4 linked regions of the Mus musculus genome follow. The protein of the gene in region 1 purifies or fractionates together with the protein of each later gene. This does not show direct contact. Links are inferred from orthologs where the notes say so. Each region holds a gene or a part of one and is shown in the gene's direction. Other genes may lie near its edges.

Region 1 (4,359 bases):
AGCTATAGAAAATATTCAGTCTCTGGTACTCACTCAGTCAAGTAAAATAGAACACCATAGAACATGTTTTGTAAAAGTGTAATTAAACACGAAATATAATCCATACAAAACTAGTTTATTCATCTAGTTACTAGTCTCCAGGCAACAATTTAAAGCTCTGTCTGTCTGCAAAATTAGTTGGGACTTTTATAGTCTCTCATTGAAGAACACAGCTAGGATTTACTGACTCAGCACTTATATATTCTGAAATCTAAATTTAAATATACCCTATTGATTACAGGTGTAAACTTATATAAAACATATAAAGCTTGGTTTATAAACGGATCTTTTCTTCATATAGTCCATTTACTAATATTTTCTATCCCAAAGACTGGAGGTGTGATGAGATACATCACATTATATCTGCCTTTTCAAAATAGTCGATGGAAAGTTTGGTCTATCTCCTGATTATACTATGGGTCAAACACCAGACTTATTTGTACCTGAGGGACAGAACAAGCAAATGTTACTGCTAAGGGTTTCCTATGTAGTGGAAGCAGAAAAAGGCTGGCAGGAAGCTGTGTTGAGGATTCTATTTCTCTAAGGCCAGTTCACATACAGCTCCTACTCTTCCATGGAGTACCCACTGAGATGACAGCAACAGAACCCAACATTCTGAAATCCCCCTCGACAAATTTCACTGTTTCTGTTTTTTTCTTTATAGTATAACGAATTACTGCTAGGGCGTAGGGTATATGCAAGCAGCAGGAATATCTGGCCCGAAAGTGCTGCCAACAGACAGACCTTTGGCGGTGGGGTGCGGGAGCCAGCGCGCCAGACCCCCTGCAGGCGACTGACTCTTCATTCCTCCCTGCCTGGGGTGAGTGGGCGGGGGTCGGGAGACGTTTTCCCCTTCCCCTTTTGAAAGGGTATGGGGCTTCGCGTGGCCTTGTCTAGGGCGGCGCCCAGGCTGCAGGGTATGAAGCCGGCTGCTGCTCCTCTGGCGCACTCCTCGTGGAGGCTATTATTTCTAGCAGTGCGCCTTCTTCCGAGGGCAGAGGTCTGGGGCCGAGTGTTCCCTCCCCGCGACTCAGCTGGTGTCCAGCCCTGTCGGGATCGATATTCCCGGAGTGCGCGAGCGCTAGCAGGACCACCGAAATCACAGTCTTGGCCCACCCTAGGGCTTCCGGGCAGCCAGAGGCTGTCCTAGGCTTTCTCGTTGGCGCTCGCTACAGGCGGTGCCGGACCTCGCCCAGACTGAGCACTCCCCTCCCCCCCCCGATCCCACCACGGCTCCCGAAGGGACACAGCCTGGACCCCTCCATTCTCTGCCTGTGTATTTAAGTAGCACAACCTAACCGGCTGCTCCCACTGGGTGACAACCCTACTCCGGACAGACGTGCCTATCAGCCAACCACCGACCAGAACTGGCGAGCATCCCGCTCTCGGATCTGTGGCGGCCTCGGTGGGCGGGGCTAAAGCAGCTAGCAAGTTAAGTGGAGCCACGACTGACGCGAGTCAACAAAGGTCACGTGAGGCGAGGGGCTGCTCTGGTTGGCTGCGCCGAGCGGGCTGTGAGGGGGGGGTCACGGCAGCGGCGTGGGGTTCGCTGTGTGACACAATTACAACAACTTTGTGCTGGTGCCGGGGAAGTTTGTGTCTCCTACGAATCCCCCCCAGAGCTCCCGCTCCTCGCGCGCTCCGGCCATTCCCGCCGACCCTGCCTGTGGCTGCCCCCTTCCCATCCCCGCGATGTGACCCTACAGCCGAGCCGTCGCCGCTCCGGACCCAGTGGTTCCACAGCCTCTGCTGCCTCTGCCTTCACCTCTACCGCGTTAGGATTTTTCGCTGCCGCCTCTCGCGGCAGAGGAGGAGGCAGAAATAAAGTTGGTGTGCCGGTCTTGTGCGGAGATTGGAGGCGTCCTTGCGGGCTCCGGCCCGGAGAGGGGGGGTGTCGGCGTTGGAGTTGTGAATTCGCTGCGTTTCCATGAAATCCTGCGGAGTGTCGCTCGCTACCGCCGCCGCCGCCGCCGCCGCCGCCGCTTTCGGTGATGAGGAAAAGAAAATGGCGGCGGGAAAAGCGAGCGGCGAGAGCGAGGAGGCGTCCCCCAGCCTGACAGCGGAGGAGAGGGAGGCGCTCGGCGGACTGGACAGGTACGGGGAGCGGGCACTCGCCCGGGCGGCTCGGGACAGGCTGGCGCCACTCTCCGAGGAGGCCGGAGCGCGGCTAGCCTGTGGCGGCCGTGGGGCGGGCACCTCGGCTTGGCGCTCTCGGCTCCGCTGACGCCCGGGCCTCGGGCTTTGGCACGGACGGGTCGGCGCCGATGCCGGGGCACTAACGAGCGGCGTGTGTCTTTCTCCGCAGCCGCCTTTTCGGGTTCGTGAGGTTTCATGAAGATGGCGCCAGGATGAAGGCCCTGCTGGGCAAGGTAAGGCAAACCGCGGGCCGGAGCGCGGACGCGGTCTCTCGAGCCAGAGGCGCGCTCGCCTGGGGCACCGGGGCCGGGTCACCACTCATTGTGGCCTCGAAAGACGGCCGAGGGGCTTCCGGAAAACTATTTCCTGCTACTGCGCTCCCCTCCACCCCCTGATACCTCGCTTGCTCTCTTGAGAGATCACTTCTCTTGGAGCCAGAGGACAGAGGCAGTGGCGCTTTTGGGGCCAAGCTCATGTGGGGCTTCCAAATTGACTACGATTTTACCGCCCTTGGAGGCTAGGCGGATGATCTCTGAGGTGCCTAGGGAGGGTCATGAGTTCGTAAACAGCTGTAGATTTCCTTAAATCCCCCGCTCGTTATCTTCCCTGGTTATTAAGGCTCTTTAGGCAGTCTGTTCCTGATGCCTGCTTTAGTCAAACATTTCGGGATGGCTTCTTGTCTCTGCTCCCTGAAGGGGGAAGTTGCACGTAGTTTAGGTCCGTAAAGAGTTTGCATGGGGTTATTGACTTGTATCATCATCGGTGTGTGCTTTACCTGAAGTTAGGTGATTTGTTTACTTTTTGGATCTTTCTGCCAAAGATCTACCACAGTTGTATGAGTGCGTTTTCTGGAGCTTGGTTTCCTGTGAGTCTGTCAGGAGCAGTTGGGGAGGATTCTGGGTGTAGTCTCTTGTTTATTTGTGTGCAAAGTTGTTGGTACTGTCATTTAGTTAAGTAATGGCTGCTTCTGTCCGCCCAAGATGGCGGGACAGGGTGGGAGGAGAAAGTGAGCCGGGGGAGGTTTGGGGGAGGGAGGAGAGGTAAACAGGGAAATAAATAGTATCAGAGAAGAATAGGCCTCTCCTTTGGAGTATGTAGCTCAGTAGTTAATAAAAATGATCACAGATTATTTGCATGTAGAATTTTTGTCCCCTTCTCTAGCTTTGAAATAGCGTGCATACGCCTGGTAAATGCTTATCAACCTGTAGCACATTTAGTTACCCATGGTAAGCTATTGAACAAAGGCTGGAGTCTCAGTCTGTCTACTTCAGTTTATATTTCCTGACCAAAGTGTGATTGGAATGGTAGGAGGAGGTTTTTTTGTTAGCTGGGACTCTCAAACTTGGAGTGTCTATGGTAGATGTTGCATTCATTAGACCTTTTCTTCTTTGCCGGAAATCTTTAGGTTTGATTTGATACTTTGTTAGCTCTATTGTTGCAATTGGGAAGTTTAAGAAAGGCGACTAAAGCTTAACGGCTTTAAAAAAAGTTGATTATTTTGCTCCTTACTTTTTGAATGTATTTTGGTTTGGCTGCCTTAATTGTTTTTATCTGTGATCATAATTACGTTTTTATTTTAAAGTATCAAAATATAAGAACTTGTGATTGCAGACAATGACTATAAGGCAAAACAGTCATAATCTTTTTCGGTAGGTCCATTTTCTTTGAATGGTAAGGAAATTTGAATTGAACTTTGACAGTGACGGTATTAATTTTCTTTCATTAAAATTAGCGCTGGAAAAATGTTCAGTAACTAGCTCTGGAATTATATAAATATAAATAGTTGTTAGCCCCCTCTTTTCAAGATTTTCCTCAACCTATTTGAAGTATTTTATGTACAAAGATTAGATTAATGTAAAGTTGTCATTCCAAAGATGTGTGTGTGTGTGTGTGTGTGTGTACACACACCTGTATATAGTGTTTAAATTTAAGGGCCATTTTATTTTGGAGTAAACATTGCTAGTTTAAATTGAGTTAATAGAGTTGCTTTCAGCGATAATTCATTTGGAAATTTAGGCTAAATTTATTCCTTTTGGTTACAGTGATGAAGAAATAAGTGGAATGTGTTTTAAGTGCATGTGTAAAGTGCTAGTTCTTACTTTCATATCTTAGAATGCTTGTTATCAGAATCACACATGGTTGTCCTTAACGTGGGATATTATATCATAAATAGTAAAACCTACA
Region 2 (3,544 bases), on another chromosome or scaffold:
CAAGGCAAGAAGCATGGCAGCATGCAGGCAGGCATGGAGCAAGAGGAGCTGAAAAATCTACATCTTGTTTCAAAGTGAAACAGTACAAGGCTGGCTCCTGAGGCAACTAGGAGGAAGGTCTCAAAGCCCATTCTCACAGTGACATACTTCTTCCAAGAAGCCACACCTCCTAATAGTGCCACTCCCTGGGCTAAGCATGTACAAACCACCATACTGAATAACTTTGAAAAATTTTATTGTAATTAACTAAACTGGTACCCAATATGACCATGAGTTTGACTGACTATTGTATTTCTTAGCCTAACAGTTTGAGGACTCAAGGTCCATGGGCGATGCATATATAGCTGAAGTTCCGGTTAGAGACATCTTTATGTCTCAGCCAGGTTCAGAGCTGTTCCTATGTAGAGGAATCAGCAAATGATGTTGTTACCTGTTCTATTGGTCTTCTTGATTTCTTTCTTTCTGTCTGTAGCTAAGATCTTTCTTTGGGGGGCGGGGGATGTCTTCTTCTATCAAATCTGATTTTTTATTAATTTGGATGGAATCCATAGTTTTTCTTTTCCTGTAGAAACAAGAGCATATTCTCTCCCCCAATGTAAGAATTTTGTTTAACCTGCCTTTAAGAAACAATGTATCATCTACCTTACTTGCCTTGGATTTCCCTTGTAATCACCTTTTACAACCCAAGCTATTAAATAGCTATACTTAAATTATGTACTCTTCTGTGTCCCTGACCTAAGAGTGATAGCTGTGTGCTTCAACGTGTGTTCTGATCATCTTTGCTGGAAACAGCAGATGGGCTGGAAGCTATCTTAGAAACAAATATCCATCATTAATGTTGAACATACCATTTGGATACTGCTTGATCTATAGTCATGTTAGCAATACTGTCTGTTGCCTGGATCATTGGGCATTGGTTGGAGTCAGCTAAAGATTTCTGTGAAATCATTGTTCCTTCTGTATATGATGGTTTTTTTTTTTTTTTTTTTTTTTTTAATGCTGCTCAATAAAGAGGAGAGGAAAACCCTTTGTGAGGGACAGAAGCAGACTCGGGGACAGGGACAGATTTCCAAGATACCCTTCAGGCAGGCACAGATTCAGATTTATACAATAGAAAGGAGAGGATGGAAGACACAGGGAGAGAGTTGAAATTCTGAACCTTTTGGTTAAGTGACATCAAGGAAAGTGTTTTGATTTTTTGTCCTTATTGCAACACCAATGTCTTTTCAGACTCTTGAGTTATAAATGTGTTCAGAATGACCACGGCATCTAAATGTAGTTATTTTTCCTGACCACAGGCCATGTGGTCCATGTGGGAAATGTTCAACTAACCCCTCTGTGAGCTAACCCTCTCTGTGGGCTAACCCCTCTGTGAGCTAACCCCTCTGTGAGCTAACCCTCTCTGTGAGCTAACCCCTCTGTGGGCTAACCACTCTGTGAGCTAACCCTCTCTGTGGGCTAACCCCCTCTGTGAGCTAACCCTCTCTGTGAGCTAACCCCTCTGTGAGCTAACCACTCTGTGGACTAACCCCTCTGTGAGCTAACCCCTTCTGTGGGCTAACCCACTCTGTGAGCTAACTCCCTTTGTGAGCTAACCCCTCTGTGGGCTAACCCTCTCTGTGAGCTAACCCCCTCTGTGGACTGGCCCCTTCTGTGGGCTAACCCCCTCTGAGCTAACCCCCTCTGTGGATTGACGCTTTCTGTGAGTTAACCCCCTCTGTGAGCTAACCCCCCTGTGGGGGTGGGGGTGCAGAAGATAGGGAGCTAGTGGGGAACTTAACCTTCATAGTTCTAGAAAATTAAGATATCTTGTAATAAAATCTCAGTAGAGCAGGTGTTCTCTACTTTAATTTTGAGATAAGAGTCAGACAGATCTGGGATTTCATGGCCAGCCTGCTCTATATAGAAATTCTAGAGCTACACAGACAACCTGTTGGAAAAAACAAAGCCCCAAGAAAGCTTTATGAAAAGTTGCATGCAATTAAAAACATTTAAAAGATATGTTTCTGTTTACTTCTAGACAAAGTATTTCTATATCACCCCTGGCATCTGCCCAAGCCTTGCAACTATGAAGGCAATTGTAGAGTGTGCAGGGGGAAAGGTGCTAGCCAAGCAGCCGTCCTTCCGGAAGCTCATGGAGCACAAGCAGAATAAGGTGAGAGCAGAGCCCCGAGACGCCAGTGCTGTGCCTTGTGGGTGCTTCTCCCTCGCCCTCACTCAGAGCTCATTCTCTCTTTCCCTAGAGTCTTTCAGAGATCATTTTAATATCCTGTGAGAACGACCTGCACTTATGTCGCGAGTACTTTGCCAGGGGAATAGGTATGGCTCCGTGCACCTCTACACTGACCTGTGAGTGTTCTCAGTGGCCTTGTCCTAACAGTTTTGGTTCTGTTCCTTCAGATGTTCACAATGCGGAGTTTGTCCTGACTGGAGTACTCACACAGACACTGGACTATGAATCATATCCTTTACGAAGGCGCATTGCAGGGACAGGTGAGGCTGAAGGCGCATTTGCAAGTTAAAAAGGGGCATCATGGTTCTGGTCTCCAGACTTTTTCCTTGCTATTACAGGTGACCTGCCTATTTAGCTTACATAGGTGTTGAAGGATTTTACAGTTTGACCCCATAGAAAAAGATGGGAGTCTATGCCTGAGGGCTATTCCACCCTCCACAGCCATGAGGTGGGAAGTGACACAGCTTGATATGGCATTATAGTTAAGGTACAGATGTGGCTGGGTCTGTGTTGAACAGCTAAGGTTTTTCAGGCTCCCAGGGAGGAAGCCTGTCAGTTTACAGTCTGTATCACTAAATCTCAGCTATTAGTTTTAGAAGGACTCAGATTTTGTTTTTCTTTTTTTTTTAAGATTTATTTTATTTATATGTATGAGAACACTGTTGCTGTCTTAAGACACACCAGAAGAGGGCATCAAATCTTGTTACAGATGGTTGTGAGCCACCATGTGGTTGCTGGGAATTGAACTCCAGACCTCTGGAAGAGCAGTCAGTGCTCTTAACCACTGAGCCATCTCTCCAGCCCAGGGCACAGATACTTGAGAGGAGGTTTTACTTTATTGCATGCTGGCCTGGCACCCTGTGGCCTGGGCTGACTTCATAGGGATCACCTTGAGTGCCAGGATTTCAGGCATGAGCCACTGTGCCCAGCTGAGGTGGTTACTTTAATGTGTGAAAAGCCCCCAGATTAGAGTGATGTCATTATTGGTCCTCCATCTGTGTGGTGTCACCCAGCTGAGTGCATTTACCAAACACTTCCTCTTAGCCCCGAGAGCTCAGTAAACAGAGCTAGATGACATAGCTTGGTGGCCGTAGGAGCTAGCAGGAGTCCCTGGCAGGGATCTTCCTCCAAGCAGACTGAGCTGGACAGTGACAGGAGGCAGGTGTGCTGTAGCATCTGGTCTTTATACAGCACATCCTCTGATGACTTCTCCAGGCTTCTCCAGACTTCTTCTTAACACTGCTTGCACTTGAGAACATGGTAGAGCTGCTTCTCAGGTTACATTGGTCAACTGAAGACCTGCCCATGCCT
Region 3 (4,126 bases), on another chromosome or scaffold:
AGAGACATTTTTTTCCCACTCAACCTGTCCGCTTGGTTTTTTGTACGGCAGCCTCCGGTCTCACGGTGTTTAAAACATGACGTCGGACGGAGAAACTACAGCTGGAGTTAGGATCTAACGTTGTCCTGCCACGGTTGCGCCGCACTAGGGAAGCCTACGTGGGACTCCGCCAGGCCTGGAGCGGCCCACGCCCGCAGGGGGTCGCGGACGCACGTGCGCGCACCGCACGCGGGTGCACGCTCCGGAGTGTTTACATCGATCCCTCCCCCCTCCTCCGGCCGGGCTGGACCCTGATCCCGGATGCCCGGTCCGCAGCTTAGCGCCCGCCAGAGCCCGAGTTGCAGCCACCGCCGCGTCAGAGCGGGCGGGGGAGGGGCGGTGAGGTCAGCGGCGGCGGCCGGGTAGCGCGGGGCGCATGCGCGGACTCAGCCCCGTGAGTGGCAGCAGCGCGCTGGGGGCGGGGGCGGGAGGCGCCTGTGTGTGGGCGAGCCGGCGGCGAGTTTGAGAGGTCTGTGGTGCGGGTCGCCCCGGGGGACCCGGGTGCAGGCCTCGCGCGACGGCCACTGCCGTGTGCGTGTGTTGTTTGTGTGGTGAACGCACAGCCGCAAAACTTCCTCCTTTGCTGCCCCCAGAGAGAGAGCGGGCGTGGGGGAGCGTTCGCGAGCGAGCGAGAGGGATCCCAGCGTGAGGGAGCCAAGCTTGATGGGGCCGAAAGCTAGCGTGAGGGAGCGATCCTGAGCGTGAGGCAGCAAAGCGCCGGCCGGAGAGCGGGCAAACGATAGGGAAGAGCGAGAGCTAGCCGTGCGTTGAACCGAGCGTGAGGGAGCTAGCCACAGGGAACGCCGTGAGCGAGCAGTGTGTGAGGGAGCGATCGCCAGCGCGCGACCGAGGGGCCGGCGCTCGCACCACCCCGGAACCCACCACAACAACTGGAGCAGCTGTCAAAACTTCGCCGCGGCGTGGGCCTGACGGGCTGACGGCGCGGGGGAGGGGTGGCTGGCCCCGCCCCGGCCCGGCCCGGCCCGCCGCCCCCCTCCGCGGCCCTTTCTCCTCCCGCCGCGGGCGGCCTGGGGGAGGGGCCGGGCGGAGACCCCTGCGGCCGCCCCCGGCCCGCGCCCCTCGCGTCGCGCCCCGCCCCGCCCCGCTCGGCGCCGCCCTCCGGCCCGGCCCCGCCGGCCCCAGCCTTGGCCGCGGCGCCCCGCCCCGCGCGGCCGGCCCCGCCCGCCCCGCCCGCTTGCCCGCCGCCCCCCGCCGGCCCCTGCGCGCCGAGTGCGCGCGCCCGCGCCGATGTGTGTGAGTGCGTGTCCTGCTAGCTCCATGTTGCCGCCTCTCCCGGTACCTGCTGCTGCTGCTGCTGCTCCCGGGGCTGCGGGAAATGCGAGAGGCTGAGCCGGGGAGGAGCAACTCGAGCAGCAGCAGCGGCGGCGGCTGCGGCCGCTGCGGCGGGAGGAGCCCCCCAGGAGGAGGACGGGGATCCATGTGTCTTTCCTGGTGACTAGGATGTCGTCGGAGGAGGACCGGAGCGCGGAGCAGCAGCAGCCGCCGCCAGCACCCCCCGAGGAGCCCGGAGCCCCGGCCCCGAGCCCCGCAGCCGCAGACAAAAGACCTCGGGGCCGGCCTCGCAAAGATGGCGCTTCCCCTTTCCAGAGAGCCAGAAAGAAGTAAGTTGAGCGCGAGGGAGCCAGGCGGGCGGCCAGCGGCGGCGCGGCCCGGAGCTGTCAGGCCCCCGGCCCGGTGGGGGCGGGGCGGCCCAGGCGCGGCCCGGTTCGGCGGCGCCCGCGCAGGTCCCGCCGGCCGCGCCGCGCACTTTACTTTGGAGTTCGGCCTCGCTTCTGGGAGAACCGCCCGGCGGCTTCCCCAGGGCCTAGCCCGGCGTCCGCACACGCCCCGCCGAGCACGCCCAGCTTGCTGCCGGCCCGGCCTCTCGGAGCCACAAAGCTGTGGGCGCCAGGGACGGAGCTGTCAAACGCCGCGGCCGGGTGGTCCGGGTGCGGCGGCCGGCGCTCTTTGTCAGCTCGCGGCTCCTTTAACTTTTCTTGCTCCCAGACCGGTGCTTTTGCTTCTTAATGATACATTAGGAAGCCATTCGAGCCTGTCCTCCCCATCCCCCACCGCCCCGAACCGCACCGCCCGGCTCCGCAGCCGGCGCTCGGGATCGCACGGGCCCAGGTGTAAGCGGGCGAGTCGGAGTTTCGGGAACGCGGCCGGGTTCCGCGGCGCTGACGGCCCAGAGCACTTTGTTTAGGGGAGACAGCTTTAAACGTCGCTGGACGAGTAACTTCAACTCCAGCTGGGCAGGCAATGGCTTTCGATTGTTTTTGAGCGTCCGTGAGGACTGTGCCGGGTGGATGAACTGGGCAAGAAGTGTTGTCTTAAAAAGTGGTTATTCGGCAACTTGGCTTGAAAATTAAGGAAACCGTTTTAGTGCCAATGAGTTAGTTGATCAGCAATAGTGGCTCTTCGGGGTGCTGCGGAAGATTGGTGACCGTCTTTCAAAGTTGCAGAATGGCGTGTGTTGCTTACTCATTTCATTGTATGATATTCTCATTGAACTGTTGGCGGTGGAAGGGTGCGCTGGGACTTGCAGGAAGAAGTCAGCACATTTATGGATAGGCTGTTTGTTTGGTTTACGTGCATTCATTTGTTGTGTCTGGTGGTTGCAGCAAAAATAGTGTTAACTGAGCCATAGCAAGCAAGCACCCTGGCCTCTCGGAACCCACTAAGCTCTTGACACAGTGTATTTGGGGTGGGTGGTGGAGAGGGTTTGCTATCTTTTTACTACTAAATGTTCCAGGGCCTTTAGTCGCCTGTATATTTTATCACCTGCCAGCTCTTACCTAGCTGTGAAAAATCTTGAGAGAAACACTTTATAGAGGATGTATACATTATTACATTAGCTTCTTTGTGATACAAAGTTGCGAGTTTATTTTGTCTGTTACTTTGTAAGGTGATGGTCTGCATAAGATAACATTATGCCTGCCTTGACTGGAATTTGGAGACGTTTTGTGGAGTTTTGAGTAACTTTGGACTTGGTCAGTTTGACATAAATACTGTTTTAAAAAGCAACATGGGATTAAGCCATATTAGAAGTTTACTTCGATTCATTCCCATTTCACTGTTTGAAAAACATCTGCATCTCATAAGAGGGTTCATGATGGCACAGGCCTGTAAGATCTTTTTAAGCCTAGCACTCAGGAGGCAGAGGCAGGTGGAGTTCAAGGCCAATTGGTCTACAGAGGGAGTTCCAGGACAGACAAGGCAACACAGACAAGGCAACACAGACAATTCCCTGTCTTGAAAAAACAAAACACATTAAAAAATCTTACTATACTTTAATTTGAGGTAAGTAAATGTTTTATATTTGCATTTAATTCTTCTTTTTTGAGAGAGTAGACATACAAGCGCTCATTTTTGCATTGTTAGGGTCACGCACTTGCAAATGCTTGAGCACACACCGTGTGCTTCCCATTGAGATGAGTTAAGGTGTATTAGTGCAACTCCTTTGAACCGGGAGGAAGGTTCACTTAAGTTATTGCCACTTAATTATTTTAATTCTTAGCACTATTAATGAAGAAAAAATGGCCTTTTGAGAAGTTAAACATTTTCCTAAAGAATGACAGTGTAGTCTTAAGAACACTCTGGCCAATTCTGTTTTAGATTTTTTTTTTTTTTTTTTTTAGATTTGAAAAGCAACACAGAATTCTTTACAAGGAAGTAAAATGTAGTGGTAATTAGCTTCTAACTTTTAAATTCTTTAAAATTAGAAAACGTTTGAAGGGAGTGGAATCTCTAATTGTATTGGAAACATGTAAGTGGAAACTAATGTGTGAAATGGAAAGCAAAGAGGTTTTTGATTGTGTATCTCTACACCATATTAGTATCCATGAGGAAAAGAGCCTGTAGTTAGTGAGGACCCAGAAGGTGAAACTGATGTGTAACAAATGTGATTTAGGTTTGTAGTAAATGAATAGTGTAGAATTGCAAAGAGTGCACTGAAGAAACAAAAGCTAATATCGTTTGTTTGTTTGTTTGTTTGAGACAGGCTCTCTTTATGTAGCTCTGGCTAGCCAGGTACTTGTAGACCAGGTTGGCTTTGAAATCAAAGAACTCATGGAGATCTGCCTGC
Region 4 (4,153 bases), on another chromosome or scaffold:
CCTGTTGGGAGCTGTCTTGGGTCCATCCCTGTCCTGGGAGAATCCCAGTCCATGGCCCTGGCCCCCATCTCTAGGGACCAAGGGAGCCTGAGCGGCCTTGTTTACAGCTTCTTTCCCCCTGCATCCTGCCAGGCTCCTCTGCCAGCCATAGGCTTCCTTTCTCCCTGCACTTTTGCCTGCAGACCCCCACCCCACTCCTGCCTCTTGACCTCCCTAACCCTGCACTCTGAAAACCTCTCTGCACTTCTGGAAGCCTTCCTGAACATCTAAATTGTACTCTGCACCTCTGCATCTCTCCCAGCCTCCCTGCACTTCTTCCTGCCTCTGGAATCCTCTGAACCTTATCCCTGGCCTCCCAACGTTCATTGTCTTGGTATCTAACCCATCCCGTTCTCCCCTTCCTTAACACCGTTTTTCCCCTTGCCACGTCCCCTGACCCTTTCTCCCTTTTCATCTCCCCCTTAGCGTCTTCACCCTCCTGCCAACACTTAGTCTGCAAAAACTGCAGTACTTAGGTCAGGCTGAGGGAAGAAGGATGGTGTGGGGAGAGGAGCCTAGCTGGGGGCTCTGACTGTTCTCTACTGGGGACCACCCAGGCCCAGACCATACCCTACCCCTACCCCTAAGGTGCCTATTGGGTCCCAAAGCTGGCAAGTGAGTCCTCACCTGGGGGACCTTCTGAGAGTCCTTATTCTGAACATCCAGGGGAGGAAGGGGCATAGCTGCGCCTGAAGAGTCAGCCTGAATTGATCTGCCCGTTTGGGCTTTTTAACCTCAGAGTTTCTTGTTTGAAGGTCTATTTATGTGCTTTGTAAACAGTAGAATTCAAAACAAAACAAACAAACAAAAACAGGACCAAAGTTCCCAGCTGCAGGGAGCAAGGGAAGGGTGGGGGAGCTCTGTAATTATTCTCTAAGAGGATGAGGGAGGTTTGTTGCACGCGACAGCCCTCTGAGGAGGCAGAGAGCCAGCTGCGATGCATTTCAGAGTTGGCGGGGTTTTTTGTTTGTTTCCTTTCTTTTTTAAAAAAAAAAAAAAAAGTTGGGGGAAAACTAAAATTCCTTTTCAAAAAATAAAACTGAGTCTCCCTTTTTGTATGCTGAATGCTGCATGAGTCTTAAACACTAATAAACAGAGAATGCATGAGACTGGCCTCAGTTGGTCCCTGTGTTTGCAGAGTCAAGGTACTGCTTTCTGGCAGGCCCTACTGAACGGAATACGCATGCGCTGCCGCAGTGGCCATCTTTAGTATGGGCCGAGGTTAATGAGTCCTAAGGGCCAAATTGCGCATGCGCAAGTCTTCTCTTTCCTCTTCCAAGTAGCTTTGACTACCGCGGAGCCTCCGCGCGCCATTTCTCTGCGCCTGCGTACTGAGATGCTGCGCAGCCTGGGAGGCGGGTTTTAGCTCCAGGTTTGTACCGCTGCTGAGTAGACGCGAACTAGGTTTGCCCGGTCTAAAAAGATGACTTCCATCCCGGTGATGGAGAAGGCGATGTGAAAGCGAGAAAACAGGCCCTTCCCTTTCCAGCTCCGAGCGTGTTTCCTGCGGGTCCCTGGGAACGGCAGAATTCTGGGTCCGTGGGGTGGGGTCTGTCCTTGCAGGGGTTTGAGCGCCCCCTCCTGGGGACGGTGCTCTGGCCGCAGTCAGCTGTTGGACTGACTGGCGATTTCCTAGACCTAGAAAGGCTCTCCAGCCTTTCGGGTGAGGCGCACTGGTTTGGTACTCTAGAATCTCCTCTATTGCTGGGCTTCTTCTCTAGTACTCTATGTCCCTTGCCCTGGGCCATGGAACCATTGCAGGCAGCACAGCAGCGCCTCTGTCTGAAGAAGGGGAAGTGACTTCCGGCCTCCAAGCTCTGGCGGTGGAGGACACTGGAGGTCCCTCTGTCTCGGCTAGTAAGGCCGAGGAAGAGGGGAAAGGCAGTCAGGAGGAGGCCGGGCGTGAGGGATCCAGGCCTGAGGAGGCACTAGAAGCTCCCAGCGCTGCGAGCGACGAGCGTGCGGAGGGAGAAGCCGAAGACTGGTGCGTGCCCTGCAGCGATGAGGAGGTGGAGCTGCCGGCCAATGGGCAGTCCTGGATGCCCCCACCCTCCGAGATCCAGCGGCTCTATGAACTGCTGGCTACCCAAGGTACTCTGGAGCTTCAAGCAGAGATCCTACCCCGCCGGCCGCCTACCCCAGAGGCCCAGAGTGAAGAGGAGAGATCAGACGAGGAGCCAGAGGCCAAAGAAGAGGAGGAGGAAAAGTGAGGCCATGCTTTACACATTATTCCCGGGACTGCTCTCCTGAGCACGGAGCCTGGAGGGAGGGGAGAGCAGGAAAGGATGAGGCGGCGGGCTGGGGTGTGCCAGCGGGTGTTAGGGAGTGCTTCTCTCAACCTTGGCTTTCTGTCCACCCTGTTTCAGGCCGCACATGCCTACAGAATTTGACTTTGATGATGAGCCAATGACACCAAAGGACTCACTGATTGACAGGAGACGGACACCAGGTACGGATGAGAGGGAAGAACTGAGGGGAGGTAAAGGGCCTCCCCTAGTTACCCCGCCCACAAGTGGGCTGGTCTGAGGCCTTGGCTGGTTTCAGCCATCATCTTGACCAGCAGTGGGACGGAGCATTCATACAGTAGCATTCACACAGTAGCAGCATAGTTCTGGCTTAGGTCAGTGCCATACTTTCCTATCAGGGACCCCGCAGACCTTCCCAGAAGTTCAAAGTTTGTTGAACACATCTCTGAAGTACTATGTTCATGCCCAGAGCTGACCTGACATCCCAGCCTGTGGGCCTTCCTAGAATATGCTTTTAGAATCATTCTGGAGCTCTCTCGCAGCCGGCCAAGCCAACAGCAAGTTGCATTAGCTCCGCTTGTACAGATCCACCATTGTCAACCAGAGGAGTCCTTTTAAGTGAGGTCCCGTCTTTCCTCAGCTTGTACTACTCCCGAGGATTCCATTCCAGAGAGGAAGAGCATGTCCACGGAGAGTCTTAAGTTTTCTGGCCTCTACCCCTGCCCCAGGACCTTTGCACATGATGGTTATGTTCCCCAGCCATTGCATTATGGGTATCTTAGTCTAATACCAGCCATCCTGTGTGTGGCCCAAACCTAAACATTAGCTCCTCTGTGCCCCTGAGGCCTAAGAAGGGAGTATTTAACAAGATCTCTAAGTGTGGGCACTTGGAGGGCTCACGTCTCAATGCTGTCATGTTTTCTACCATCTTAGGAAGCTCAGCCCGGAGCCAGAAACGGGAGGCGCGTCTGGATAAGGTCCTCTCAGACATGAAGCGCCATAAGAAACTAGAGGAGCAAATCCTCCGGACCGGGAGAGACCTCTTCAGCTTAGACTCAGAGGGCCCCAGCCCCACCAGCCCTCCACTCCGATCCTCAGGAAACAGTCTCTTTCCCAGACAGCGGAAGTACTGACTGGTGCTGCTCCTGCCTACAGGTGCAGACTGTTTTGTGCTGGGCATGGCCAGCCTTTCCCAACCCAGGCTCTGGGGAACTTGTAATGGGGAAGGCCTCAGGCTCCCAGCGCAGTGCCTCTCAGGAGAGTGCCTGTGTGTTCTGTTTAGTGTCTGTTCGCAGTTTTGAGCTGGATGTGCTAAATCTAATAAAAGATGCCCGATGAGTTGGGCGTGGTGGCGCACGCCTTTAATCCCAGCACTCAGGAGGCAGAGGCAGGCGGATTTCTGAGTTCGAGGCCAGCCTGGTTTACAGAGTGAGCTCCAGGACAGCCAGGGCTACACAGAAACCCTGTCTCGAAAAACCAAAAAAAAAAAAAGATGCCGGGTGATCTTCTCAGAGGAGAGACTGCAGCTCAACCCAAGCACGCATTCTCACTTGGGCAGAGGCAGAGCTGTGTTCCTCCACACTGTAATATTGAAGCCAGAAGAGGCAGAGGCTCAGCCAGCCACCATCCCCCACCCCCACCCTTACTGCTGCATCCTCTGATTTCCTAGTCTCGGTCCAGACCCGCCAGTTAGCACTGATTCAGAAACTGCCCCCAGCTGTGGTGACTTCAGTGCAGCCTGGAGGAGCAAAAGATCCAGTTGCAGGGCCCTTTAAATACACAAGCTCCGCCCCTGCCTGCCCAGCCCATTAGGGAAGTCATCCCAAGTGTTGGTGAGGGAAATTCCTGACCTGTGGCCTGCAGCAGCC

The links.
Region 2: the proteins of Kdm6a (region 1) and Paxip1 purify together in Homo sapiens (affinity purification with mass spectrometry; 6 studies listed by BioGRID and IntAct, with this or other methods). This does not show direct contact. The link is inferred for Mus musculus from reciprocal best matches to the Homo sapiens genes KDM6A and PAXIP1.
Region 3: the proteins of Kdm6a (region 1) and Kmt2c purify together in Homo sapiens (affinity purification with mass spectrometry; 3 studies listed by BioGRID and IntAct, with this or other methods). This does not show direct contact. The link is inferred for Mus musculus from reciprocal best matches to the Homo sapiens genes KDM6A and KMT2C.
Region 4: the proteins of Kdm6a (region 1) and Pagr1a purify together in Homo sapiens (affinity purification with mass spectrometry; 5 studies listed by BioGRID and IntAct, with this or other methods). This does not show direct contact. The link is inferred for Mus musculus from reciprocal best matches to the Homo sapiens genes KDM6A and PAGR1.

Annotation. Positions count from the first base shown.
Region 1 is NC_000086.7:18,161,040-18,165,398, forward strand, and holds the start of Kdm6a (lysine-specific demethylase 6A), read left to right. Parts: upstream 1-1,535; 5' UTR 1,536-1,966; coding exon 1,967-2,133; intron 2,134-2,344; coding exon 2,345-2,408; intron 2,409-4,359. UniProt on the Homo sapiens protein: Histone demethylase that specifically demethylates 'Lys-27' of histone H3, thereby playing a central role in histone code. Demethylates trimethylated and dimethylated but not monomethylated H3 'Lys-27'.
Region 2 is NC_000071.6:27,743,032-27,746,575, reverse strand, and holds part of Paxip1 (PAX-interacting protein 1), read left to right. Parts: intron 1-2,020; coding exon 2,021-2,155; intron 2,156-2,243; coding exon 2,244-2,319; intron 2,320-2,400; coding exon 2,401-2,461; coding exon of another isoform or gene 2,462-2,522; exon of another isoform or gene 2,523-3,544.
Region 3 is NC_000071.6:25,495,925-25,500,050, reverse strand, and holds the start of Kmt2c (histone-lysine N-methyltransferase 2C), read left to right. Parts: upstream 1-1,267; 5' UTR 1,268-1,500; coding exon 1,501-1,661; intron 1,662-4,126. UniProt on the Homo sapiens protein: Histone methyltransferase that catalyzes methyl group transfer from S-adenosyl-L-methionine to the epsilon-amino group of 'Lys-4' of histone H3 (H3K4).
Region 4 is NC_000073.6:127,014,535-127,018,687, reverse strand, and holds Pagr1a (PAXIP1-associated glutamate-rich protein 1A), read left to right. Parts: upstream 1-1,335; 5' UTR 1,336-1,766; coding exon 1,767-2,245; intron 2,246-2,405; coding exon 2,406-2,488; intron 2,489-3,218; coding exon 3,219-3,418; 3' UTR 3,419-3,637; downstream 3,638-4,153. UniProt on the Homo sapiens protein: Its association with the histone methyltransferase MLL2/MLL3 complex is suggesting a role in epigenetic transcriptional activation. However, in association with PAXIP1/PTIP is proposed to function at least in part independently of the MLL2/MLL3 complex.